3 linked regions of the Tribolium castaneum genome follow. The protein of the gene in region 2 purifies or fractionates together with the protein of the main gene of each other region. This does not show direct contact. Links are inferred from orthologs where the notes say so. Each region holds a gene or a part of one and is shown on either strand. Other genes may lie near its edges.

Region 1 (4,215 bases), on a different chromosome or scaffold from region 2:
AAACGGTCAAAATACTGCAAATCACGCTTTGATGTAACGAAAAACCGAATTTAAAACCCACCTTTAACAACAAGGGCCACTTGGAACTGTCCAACTTTGCAATCACTGAGGAGGGCTCCACTGCAAATTCGGAGCCTTTTTGAAGGTTCCCCAAGTCTTTGTCGCCCTTGCTTTTCTTCTTTTTCTTCTCCCTAACGGGCGTATCCGCCTCTGCACAAAATTGCGTTCTAAATAACGATAAGACAAAGCGGCCGGTTTTTTGAAAAAAATCATTATTTTTGAAACTCTAAATACATTTCTACCACTAATTATTTATCAAAGAACGAAATAAAGCCTCGTTAAAGATAATAATAAACAATAACTTACCAAACTCAGACATCGCTTAGAAAATAACCAACACGTGCATCCGACACAGAAAGTAGGGTTAGTTTTTTGACAACTAACAACAATTTTGACAGATTTTAAGTGGCGCTACTGAAAAAAATTTAAATGAAATAAATGGCGGGAAATGTTTTTTCGGTTATTTAGAGTCTTAAACGATTTTTCTTTTATTTTTTTTATTTTATTTTGGTAAACATTGGCGTTTTTATGCGCTGTAATCGGTGTTTAAAAATTTAAAAAATGTAAAAATTGCAATCTTTTTTTTTGTGTTTTTTTTCGGAAACACTGAGACTTAGAACTAAAATCAAAAAAGCATCAGATAGCGCCTAAAATTATCTATTTTCTTGCCAAAACCCGGAGCCGCTTCGGTCAACGGTTCCAGGTACAGAGGCATATAAAGTTTTACATTAAAAAAATATTTATCAAAAACCAAAAGTCTATTGTCCATTTTTTATTTCATTTAAAATTTTGAAATTTTTTGCTCAAAATTTTAATAATCAAGGCACTTACCTTCACAAAAATTAAGAAAAAAAATTTAAACTCACTCTAGCAAAGTTTTACGAACTTTTTGGCAAATAACTCAGAATGTGTTAGTTAATTACAAAACTTAAAAAAAAATGCCAATAGTTTTAGAAGAAATATAACATATGACGCAACTGTAAGTACCCTTCTATAGCTGTTTTTTTTGCAAAATTATATACGGTAACCCGTTTGCAAAATGTAATTTCAATTTTTAGAAGTTGATTACTCTACATTTTTCCAATTCAATCCAGGATTTTTTTTAAATATTAAAAATCGTTCTATCGAAGAGTTTTCTAAATTTTTCATTAATTTTAATTTTAGACCACAAAATTTTAATTACTATAAGAAAACTGGCCAATTATTGTCCGGTTTAACATTTTATCTGGACACCGGACAATCATCTGGGTGAAAACCGGACAGGTGTGGCAACCCTATGAGGAATTTGGTGACGATTTAGTGATTATCGTTTGTGGGTTGGTGCCATTCTGGGGATTTTCGTAGCGTTGGGTTGCGCGTCGCTTTTTTCTGACAGTTTTTTTGATAGCACGTGTTGTGGCCGGTTTTTTCACGCATTTCGCCTAAACTAAGTATAAAAATGAATAATTTGCTTCGAGTTGCGTCCAGACTCAGCTTCAAGACGCTCCTGAGTCCGGTTAAAAAAGTGTCCAACACTTTCCAGCAGCGGCAACTTGCGCGCAATCTTTGGTACATGTGCAATCGCAATGAGTCCGAAAACAAACTGAGCAAGTTGTGCACTTGTGGGTGCATGAGCAGGCACCAGCATGCACACAGTAAAGGTACGTAAGTGAGCCCAATAAGTTGGAGGAATAACAAACTTGTAGCCGAACGTGAACTGGTTGAGTTTCTCACTGAGGAGATTGTCCTGGAGAGGAAGGCCCAGAAGTCGGTGACGCTTCCAGCCGAGCTTGAGGGTTTTAAAGTGGGGTTGAACGGGTCTGAAGTCACTTTGAACAAAAAAGTTGAAAATGAAACGTGAGTCAAATGCGTCTCATTTCTTGTTATGAAGTGGCAACTTCTAGGATAAAAATTACTTTCAATGTGAACCACACAGTAGACTCTGATGAACTACCTAAAGTGGATTCGACGATGGACAATCCAGAATTTGGAGAATTAAAGTCAAAGCCTGAATTTCGAATTGAAATTGTGCGAGGGTCGACCACTTTCAGTGTTTTGTGCTCATTTTTAGAAAGTGATGAGCAAGAGGAAGATTCTAGTAAGACACTTCTGTTTTTAATTCACAAGATTTTGCACAACTTTCGGCTCAAAATCTAATCGAATGAAACGCCATTTGGTGATAATTTTATTCGGTTTTAGAGGATTAAAAAACGCTTCGAACACTAAAAAATCATATATGATAGCATTTTTGTGAAGATATGCGAAATCTTGGAATAAACTAAGCCCTTAGCTGAAAAAAGTTCAACCTGATTTAGCAAATTTTCGGCTTATTTTTCGCAACAAAATGTCCTAAATCCCCCGAAAACGCAAAAAATTGGGATGTTTTAACCTTACTGAAAGATTTTAGGATTTTAGCTCTAATACATCCTTTTTTGGTTAATTTTTGACGATTTTCTTCGAAATAATTAAGTTTTTGACGAAAAAACGTTTTGAAACGCTCAAAAAAAGGCAATAATTAGACAAGAATGTGCAAAATAAATGCGTCTTTGGCTCAATTAAGAATGAAATCGAGGAAATCAATCTCAAATAGAATATCATGGTCAGTATGATTTGGTGTTTTTTTCAACTAGTTTTGGAGGATTGTAATTCGAAAAAAAAACTGCTTTTTGGCGTTGTTTTGCAATTCTTCGGCTTCTTGTAACTAAATTTTGCAAAACAACTGCGTTTGTAATCTAGAAAACCTGTTAAAACTCCCAAAAACAATACAATGATCGTCTATTTTTTATTCAGTTTAGCGAAATTGCGGAAAAAAACACGCTATTTTCAGGCTAGTTTACTGATTTCTCATCTTTTTTCTTAAAAATAATTGTTATTTATGGTCGAAAAACGTGCCAATATGGTTAAAATTGCTAAAAATAATGCCATTTTGACCTGATGCTTTGTTTGGTAATTCTTTTTTGTAACCAAATTTTGAGATAACTGCTTTTTAAAACTTCCAAAAACCAAAAAACTACAATGATCACCGGTCTATTTGTTTATTCAGTTTAGCGAAATTTCTCAAAAAGTACGCTATTTTCAGACTAATTTAGTGATTTCCCAGCTTTTTCTTATAACGTTTTGAAAAATTATTGTATATTTCTTGTTTGAAAACGTGCTAAAATGGTTAAAATTTGTAAAAATAATGTCATTTTGATCTAATTTTGGCTTTGTTTGGTAATTTTTCGGCTTCATTGTGACCAAATTTTGAGAGATAACTGTGTTTTAAAACTCCCAAAAACGCTACAGTGATCACAAGTCTATTTTTTATTCAGTTTATTCAGCTATTTTCAGGCTAATTTACTGATTTCTCATATTTTTTCTTAAAAATAATTGTTATTTATGGTCGAAAAACGTGCTAATATGGTTAAAATTGCTAAAAATAATGTCATTGTGACCTAATTTTGGGTTTGTTTGGTAATTCTTCGGCTTTTTTGTAACCAAATTTTGAGATAACTGCTTTTTAAAACTTCTAAAAAACCACAATGATCACCAGTCTATTTTTTTATTCAGTTTAGCGAAATTTCTCAAAAGTACGCTATTTTCAGACTAATTTAGTGATTTCCCAGCTTTTTCTTATAACGTTTTGAAAAATTATTGTATATTTTTTGTTTGAAAACGTGCTAAAATGGTTAAAATTTGTAAAAAAATGTCATTTTGATCTAATTTTGGCTTTGTTTGGTAATTTTTCGGCTTCATTGTGACCAAATTTTGAGAGATAACTGTGTTTTAAAACTCCCAAAAACGCTACAGTGATCACCAGTCTATTTTTTATTTAGTCTATTGAAATTTCGTTATTTTTAGGCTGACTTAGTGATTTCACAACTTTTTTCTTTTGTTTTGAATATTTCTGGTCGAGAAACGTGCTAAAATGGTAAAAATTATGTCATTTTGATCTAATTTTGGCTTTGTTCGGTAATCCTTCGACTTCTTTGTAACTAACTTTGCAAGATAAATGCGTTTCTTGTTTATAAAAACTGTTAAAACTCCCAAAAACGCTACAAGTTTAATGAAATTTAGAAAGAATACGTTATTTTCAGGCTAGTTTATTGATTTCCGATGTTTTTTCTTACGTTTTGAAAAATAATTGTATATTTCTAGTCGAAAAACGTACTAATAAAACGGTTAAAATTGGTAAAA
Region 2 (3,063 bases):
AACAGACTTCCAATTTGATAATGATGATAAATGAAGAAGACAGTTTGTGCACCTGTTTAAAATTAACACGAGTAAAATTAAAAAAACCTCTCAGGATTCAACCGATCCTTTAAATTATTATGCTGAGATCTTTAATCTCAGTGAATGTATTTTTGTATATAACCCAATAAAACTATAAAATCAAAAATATGTTAGGATCATCTGGTGCTTTACAGTTTTCTCTGTGCATGTGATTTTTTTCAGGATTATTCTACAATTCCTTACAATAAATATTAATTAATTAAAAAAATCAATATAATAATTAATTAACTAAATTTATAGTCTTAGGGACTAGTTACTGTACAAAGCCAAATAAAATTTAATTCAGGATTAAACTTCAGTGGTGGAGAACTTACGGATAAAACGAACTAGTTTTCCGTTCATAACGAACTTTTCACAGAATTTTGAGAAATATGTCGGGGTTGATAGTAAGTATTTAATATAATAGAGAAGTGTTAACTGATGAACAAATTATTAACTAACTAAAAATAAATATTTTTTGTGTTTTGACATCTAATTACTGTGTAATTAACTACTTAATCCAAACTTTTATTATTTTTTGGGATATTAGAGGTTGAAACTTTCACTTCAGCGTCTAAAAATTAATCAGAAACGCAATATCAACTAGGAAATTGGGATTGCGTCTTTTGAGTACTTTTCCCAAAGTTTATATGACTAACAGACGGTGATTTGAGCAAACGAGCGTATGCGAGTTACATAATATACACCCGAGAACTTTAAACGTTTTCGCGTGAGTGTTTGTTTTGTTGGAATTTTTAAATTAAATTAATATTTTTTTATTACATTTTTTAAATTTCTTTTAAATTTAAACGTGTTCACATTTGATTTTTTTTACTTTTAATGGATCAAATAAAGAAAGTCTAACATTACACAATATTTCAATTCTGCCAAAGATTCTTCAAACACTAAAATGTGTTAATGAGTCAATATAAATAAACATCTGTTTTGTATTGACAATATTTTAACATACATTAGGTAGAAGAACAAAATTTCATTTACAAATACCTACCTACATAAACTGGTAGAACAAAGTTTGAAAAAAATTGAATGTATAGGGAACCAATAATACAGCGGTGTTTTTACATTGGTGTAAATAGGTTACCTATTTCATAAACATAAAAATAAGTTTTTATTCTTTGTTTCTGTATTATGCTGAAAATGCAAAAAATTGCCTAATACATGCGGTCGTATTTTTTTTTGGTAAAATCCGGGCAGGTTCCTGTGTTGCCGACAGCGCAGTGACGTGGCGCATGCGCACAGCGTCTGTCGTTCATTTTGTACGCCATTTTGTCGTTGGTTGTGTGCGTTGCCGCCGGGTGTAGAAAAAGTGAATTTCTCAGTCAAATCAGCGTACAAAATCAGTAAAAATGGTCGACACAATTGAAATGAGTTTAGATGAGATAATAAAATCCAAGCCCCGGCGCGGCGGCCGTCGCGGAGGTCGCGGCGGAACCCGCGGGGGTGGCGCGCCAAGACGCGGCACGTTCCGAAGAGCCGGCGGCGTCCAAAGGGGCCGAGGACGCGGAGGAATAACGCGCCAGTACACCCGGGTAATTGTTTCTAACTATGTTTATACTTAAGCTGCCCCGCGATGGAAGCGGCTAGCGTGCATCCAGCCGGAGAGCCGGAATTTACCCCCATCCATGTTTGTTTAGGGAGATGTGAACAGTGCTTGGAAGCACGATCTGTTCGAGGGCTACGGCCCGCGTAAAGTGGCCGCGGCTCGGGCCGTTGTGCAGTCCAATGTGGGCCCCACTAAGCTCATGGTGGGCAATTTAGACTTTGCGGTCTCCGACTCGGATATTCAGGAATTGTTCGCCGAGTTTGGGCCGCTAAAGAGCGCCTCGGTGCACTATGACCGCTCGGGGCGGTCGCTCGGCACCGCTGATGTGATTTTCGAAAGGCGCACCGACGCTATTAAGGCCATGAAGCAGTACAACGGAGTGCCTCTCGACGGACGCGCCATGAACATTCAAATCATCACGTCGGAGATTCCGTCGCCGGTCAGGAGGCCCACGGGAGAGAGGAAGTTCCAAAGCAGAAGAGGGGCTGCACCTGCCAAGGGACGACCTAACAGAGGTACAATTACTTGACCAGCGGCGGCGACGCCTCCAACAGCCGGATTTTTCAACTAAACAAATGTTTGTTTGCCAGGTCGTGGAGGAGGACGAAGTTTCAGAAATCAAAAGAAACAACCGACAGCTGAAGAACTCGACGCTGAATTAGACGCCTACACCAAGGAGATGAAATAAAATAAGTGCTATTAATATCAGAGACGCTCAACGCGCCACTTTTTGTGACTTGTGTTTAGTTCTTTCGTATTTTTATTTTGTATTTTGATTGTAACATCGAGCCTTACATTTTATAAAAAATAACCACTAAAGTACGAGGATTACGTATGCGGTTCGTTTTTTCCACAACTAAATCTAGTGTTAGGCTGTTTTCTCTTGTTAATGTAAATTGTATTGATAGGAATAAATAAGAATTAAGTGTGACTTGTCGTTTCATTAGAAATTTTTTTTATTTATACATAAAACTGCATCAGCCAAATGTATCACATGACGTTAAGACCGAGTTGTATAAAAAATTAATCGCCTTCAATCTTGATTTAAAACCATAATAAATCTTGTAACAGTTGTCGCTAAAGGCACGTTGACACGGATCGATTTTAGTCGTTTATTTCAAGTTGAACAATAAAACTTCAACAAAAATCATCGTCAGAATCTTTGTTGTGTCTTAAGTGGATCAAGTTTTTTACGATGATTTCCATTAAAAATTTTCATCTTTAATTGAACAACTAAAGTGGGTCCGTGAGAACTTGCGTTTAGGGTTTATATTACTAAATATACGACAAAACAAATTACAAAAAGTACATCCAATCGAAGCGAGTGCACTCAACGTAATTTTCATCAATAAAGAATACTAAAAGAAAATAATAATTTATTAAGCAACAGTGTAAGATTAATAATTATAGTAACTGAGCTGTCTTGTGGCTGCTTGTAA
Region 3 (4,173 bases), on a different chromosome or scaffold from region 2:
ATTTTTTTTGGATTTGATCGTTCGCAAATAACAATTGAAGGAAAGTTTGTTTGCCAATTTAAGTAAGATGTGTCCACTGAAAAGGATATTTTTTGGTTTTGATACTGGTCTAGTGCGTTAAACATTAGCATAATCGATGCGGCCTGTGAATCTATTTTATTGTGGTAAAAATTTGACGATTTGTGGGATTTACCCAAGAAGTTAGGACACATATTGTCCAAAAAAATCTTTCAGTCCAGTGGAATCTCTTATCAGCTATGAAATGCAAGCCATGTAGAGACGTGTTTAAGAAATATTTTGTAACAATACTCATTGTAGTGTAGTTGGGAATTTGTAATCAATACTATTTATGAGTTGGGTCATAATGCAGTAAAACTTTAATAAATTATTAATAGATGTGTTGAATTGTCGCTGTACAAAAACCTAATAAAAAGTTAACAGTTTTCAAACTATCAATTATATCATCGTAATATTTATTATGTATCTGTGGGAAACCAGAATGATACGTGAGCATTTAAGTAACCGCAAGCTACTTAAACATGAGAAGAATTAAAAAATAAGGAGTGCCAGTTGTAATAAAGAGCATGTGTGATTTCTATTAATTTAATAAAATACAGTCATTTCTTGATAATGTTTTTATTGAGTCCACGTTCTATTTTTATGGATAAAGTTTGTAATAGCAATATCAAATTCAATAATCATAAATCATAATAATTTCGCCATTTTTCGTCCATTTTTAATTTAATAATTAGGTAGGCAAAACCAAATGCTCAGTTGTTTTATTGGTCATCTACTCAATAAACTTATTACGTTTTTTAGTTTTATTTATTTCGACAAAAACATTCGTAAATTTACGTTCTTTTAAAACGAACATCATTTTATGTTTTTGACTTATTACCGATAAAATTTCACTGAAAAATCGGCTGTTTTTGAAAAATGTGTTTTTTTTATTTTGATATGCCTCTTTTTTGCAGTCATGTGTTGAATGTTGAATAAAAACCGAAAAATCAATAAACTTTATGCTATAATTTTATAATAAAAATAATGTTTAAATGTAAAATTTACAAAAAAGTGAAAAATCAAATCATAAAGTGACGCAGCCTTAGCCACTTCTACAATCAAACATATGCTTATCTCTCTTTAACTTAAAAGATTGCGATACGTGTCTCACTCCGATAAGATGGTAACCACAATGATAACACCGTGCCAACCAACGAAAAAAAGCTTAGGGATTAAATTAGACAATAAGGTTGTGCAATAATCTATTTCCTAAACCACTTTTTAATTTTGAGGCCATAAAAAAGATCAGTGCGCTAAAAACTGAAAAAGATAGCACGAGTGTTTAAGTTTCCCGCTCCGTCAATTATGCTTCGGAAAGAGAAATGACGATAAAAAAACAAATGATTAATCAGGAAAATATGGCGCTTGCCAGGAGAAAAATGTAGAAATTTTAAAGTAACCATAGTCGAGTTGTCATCAATTGAAGTGTTAAAAGTGTTTCATCAGTAAACGTGAATAAACCCGTGCTTCAATTCGTTCGCGACGAAATCTCCAAGATGAGTGTCGACGCATACGGCCCCAGTTCGCAAACTCTCACGTTTTTAGAGACCGAAGAAAACGACTTGATCGGGGCTGACACCCAAGGATCCGAATGCGAATTCACCGATTTCACAATTCCATCGCAAACGCAAGCCTCGCAGCACGACCACGCGGGCCCCAAAGTTTCCGGTGTACAGGTTAGTGCAAGGTCGCCCCCTGGTTCAGTGTCGTATGACGTTGTTGTTTTAGCTCAACAACAACATCAACAACAAAATCGCCAATGCGACGAGTGCTTTAGGGGAACTGCAATTCGAGGAAGAGGATGAGGAGTATTTCAACAGCAAGGAGCTCCCGAACTACGCGTGCAAGTACTGCGGCATTCATGAGCCGAATTGCGTTGTCATGTGCAACTGCTGCAAAAAGTGGTTTTGTAACGGGAGAGGAAACACCTCAGGAAGCCACATAATCAACCATTTGGTGAGGAATTTCAACTTGGAAACTGTTTTTTGATTGGGGTTTAGGTCCGAGCCAAACACAAGGAAGTGACCTTACACAAGGACGGCCCTTTGGGCGAGACAATCCTTGAATGTTACAGTTGTGGCGTCCGCAATGTTTTTGTTTTGGGGTTCATTCCTGCCAAAGCTGACTCTGTTGTGGTGCTACTTTGCCGCCAACCTTGTGCCGCCCAAAACTCACTTAAAGTAAGTCATTGCTTTTAAAATAGGACAGTTTTCAAGCTTTTAATAGGACATGAACTGGGATCAAGACCAATGGAAACCACTCATTACCGACCGGTGTTTTCTCACATGGCTTGTAAAAATACCATCAGAACAGGAACAACTGCGAGCGCGCCAAATCTCAGCCCAACAAATCAACAAACTTGAAGAACTTTGGAAAGATAATGTTGATGCCACGTTCCAGGATTTGGAACGGCCAGGAGTTGACGAAGAACCGCAACAAGTTAGTCTTGTTTGCACAGTTCTAACGTATTTATTATAATTTTTTTTGGTAGGTTTTATTGCGATATGAGGACGGTTATCAGTACCAAAACATTTTTGGTCCTCTTGTTAAGCTTGAAGCTGATTATGATAAAAGATTGAAGGAGTCTCAGACTCAGGAAAATATTGAAGTTAGGTGGGATGTGGGTTTGAATAAGAAAACAATTGCGTATTTTACTCTTGCTAAAACTGACGGGGATATGAAATTAATGCACGGAGATGAGTTGAGACTTAGATACGTGGGAGAAATGCATAAATCATGGGCGGGGGTGGGACACGTTATCAAAGTTCCTGATAATTACGGAGAGGATATTGGCATTGAGTTGAAGAACGGAAATGGGGCTCCCACCGATTGTAACAGCAACTTTGTGGTGGATTTCATTTGGAAAAGTACCAGTTTTGACAGGTAAATTTCGTTGTTGTGATAGAAACAGAAATAATCACGTTAATCTCTTTATGTATCACATTTTTTATTTATTTTTTTAATTAATGTTTTACTGTTAGTAGTCAAACGTTGAAAGTACCATTGTTATAAACTTTCACATTAAATATAAGTATAATATTACAATCAAACTTTATTTTAAAAATCACAGTAATTAAAAAAAAAGCATGAGAGAAGTGACGCATTTTCACTTCTTATTTCCGAATGTTAAAAAAATCTTTGTAAGATGTTAATTTTAAGCGTTGATATTTCAAGCTATATTAATGTGGTAATTTTTTTATAAGGTTTCTAAGAATATTTAATTAAAAAAATAATTATGTGAAAACAAGTTTTCACGTCGTTTTTTTCTGAGCTCGCCTTTATTGTTAATTGCAGGATGCAACTCGCCTTGCGAAAATTCGCCGTTGACGATACATCCGTTTCCGCCTACATCTACCACCGCCTCCTCGGCCACGAGGTCGAAGAGGTCCTTTTCCGTTGTCACCTCCCTAAACATTTTTCGGCACCTAATCTTCCCGACTTGAACCGTTCGCAAGTCTACGCCGTCAAACATGCCCTCCAGCGTCCACTCTCCCTCATCCAAGGTCCTCCCGGAACGGGAAAAACCGTAACTTCCGCCACCATCGTCTATCAATTGGTGAAACAAAACGGCGGTCCAGTCCTAGTCTGTGCTCCCAGTAATACGGCAGTTGACCAACTTACCGAAAAAATTCACAAAACTAATCTAAAAGTTGTAAGATTGTGTGCGAAATCACGCGAAGCGATTGATTCGCCTGTGAGTTTTCTTGCATTGCATAATCAGATACGTAAAATGGAAGCCAATACTGAACTCCAGAAGTTGCAACAGTTGAAAGATGAGACTGGAGAGTTGAGTTCAGTTGATGAGAAACGATACAGAATGTTGAAAAAATTGGCTGAGAAAGAATTACTCGAAGCTGCCGATGTTATTTGTTGTACTTGTGTGGGGGCAGGTGATCCACGATTGGTTCGTTTGAAATTTCATTCGATTCTGATTGATGAAAGTATGCAAGCGACTGAACCCGAATGTATGGTACCGGTGGTACTAGGAGTGAAACAATTGATTTTGGTTGGTGATCATTGTCAGTTGGGTCCAGTTGTTATGTGTAAGAAAGCAGCAAGGGCTGGATTGTCCCAAAGTTTGTTTGAGAGGTTGGTGGTATTGGGAATTCGACC

What was found.
Region 1: the proteins of Ref1 (region 2) and P32 purify together in Homo sapiens (affinity purification with mass spectrometry; 3 studies listed by BioGRID and IntAct, with this or other methods). This does not show direct contact. The link is inferred for Tribolium castaneum from reciprocal best matches to the Homo sapiens genes ALYREF and C1QBP.
Region 3: the proteins of Ref1 (region 2) and regulator of nonsense transcripts 1 purify together in Homo sapiens (co-immunoprecipitation; 3 studies listed by BioGRID and IntAct, with this or other methods). This does not show direct contact. The link is inferred for Tribolium castaneum from reciprocal best matches to the Homo sapiens genes ALYREF and UPF1.

Annotation. Positions count from the first base shown.
Region 1 is NC_087394.1:7,764,797-7,769,011, reverse strand, and holds the start of P32 (complement component 1 Q subcomponent-binding protein, mitochondrial), read left to right. Parts: upstream 1-1,402; 5' UTR 1,403-1,498; coding exon 1,499-1,700; intron 1,701-1,745; coding exon 1,746-1,896; intron 1,897-1,943; coding exon 1,944-2,137; intron 2,138-4,215. Other genes in the region: Nop60B (H/ACA ribonucleoprotein complex subunit 4), read right to left, coding at 1-14, 62-210, 367-379.
Region 2 is NC_087395.1:19,979,832-19,982,894, reverse strand, and holds Ref1 (THO complex subunit 4), read left to right. Parts: upstream 1-1,315; 5' UTR 1,316-1,427; coding exon 1,428-1,610; intron 1,611-1,715; coding exon 1,716-2,139; intron 2,140-2,214; coding exon 2,215-2,312; 3' UTR 2,313-2,555; downstream 2,556-3,063. UniProt on the Homo sapiens protein: Functions as an mRNA export adapter; component of the transcription/export (TREX) complex which is thought to couple mRNA transcription, processing and nuclear export, and specifically associates with spliced mRNA and not with unspliced pre-mRNA.
Region 3 is NC_087397.1:527,853-532,025, forward strand, and holds the start of regulator of nonsense transcripts 1, read left to right. Parts: upstream 1-1,223; 5' UTR 1,224-1,556; coding exon 1,557-1,736; intron 1,737-1,788; coding exon 1,789-2,016; intron 2,017-2,060; coding exon 2,061-2,240; intron 2,241-2,286; coding exon 2,287-2,499; intron 2,500-2,551; coding exon 2,552-2,943; intron 2,944-3,354; coding exon 3,355-4,173. Other genes in the region: sodium channel protein Nach, read right to left, coding at 1-143, 194-313. UniProt on the Homo sapiens protein: RNA-dependent helicase required for nonsense-mediated decay (NMD) of aberrant mRNAs containing premature stop codons and modulates the expression level of normal mRNAs.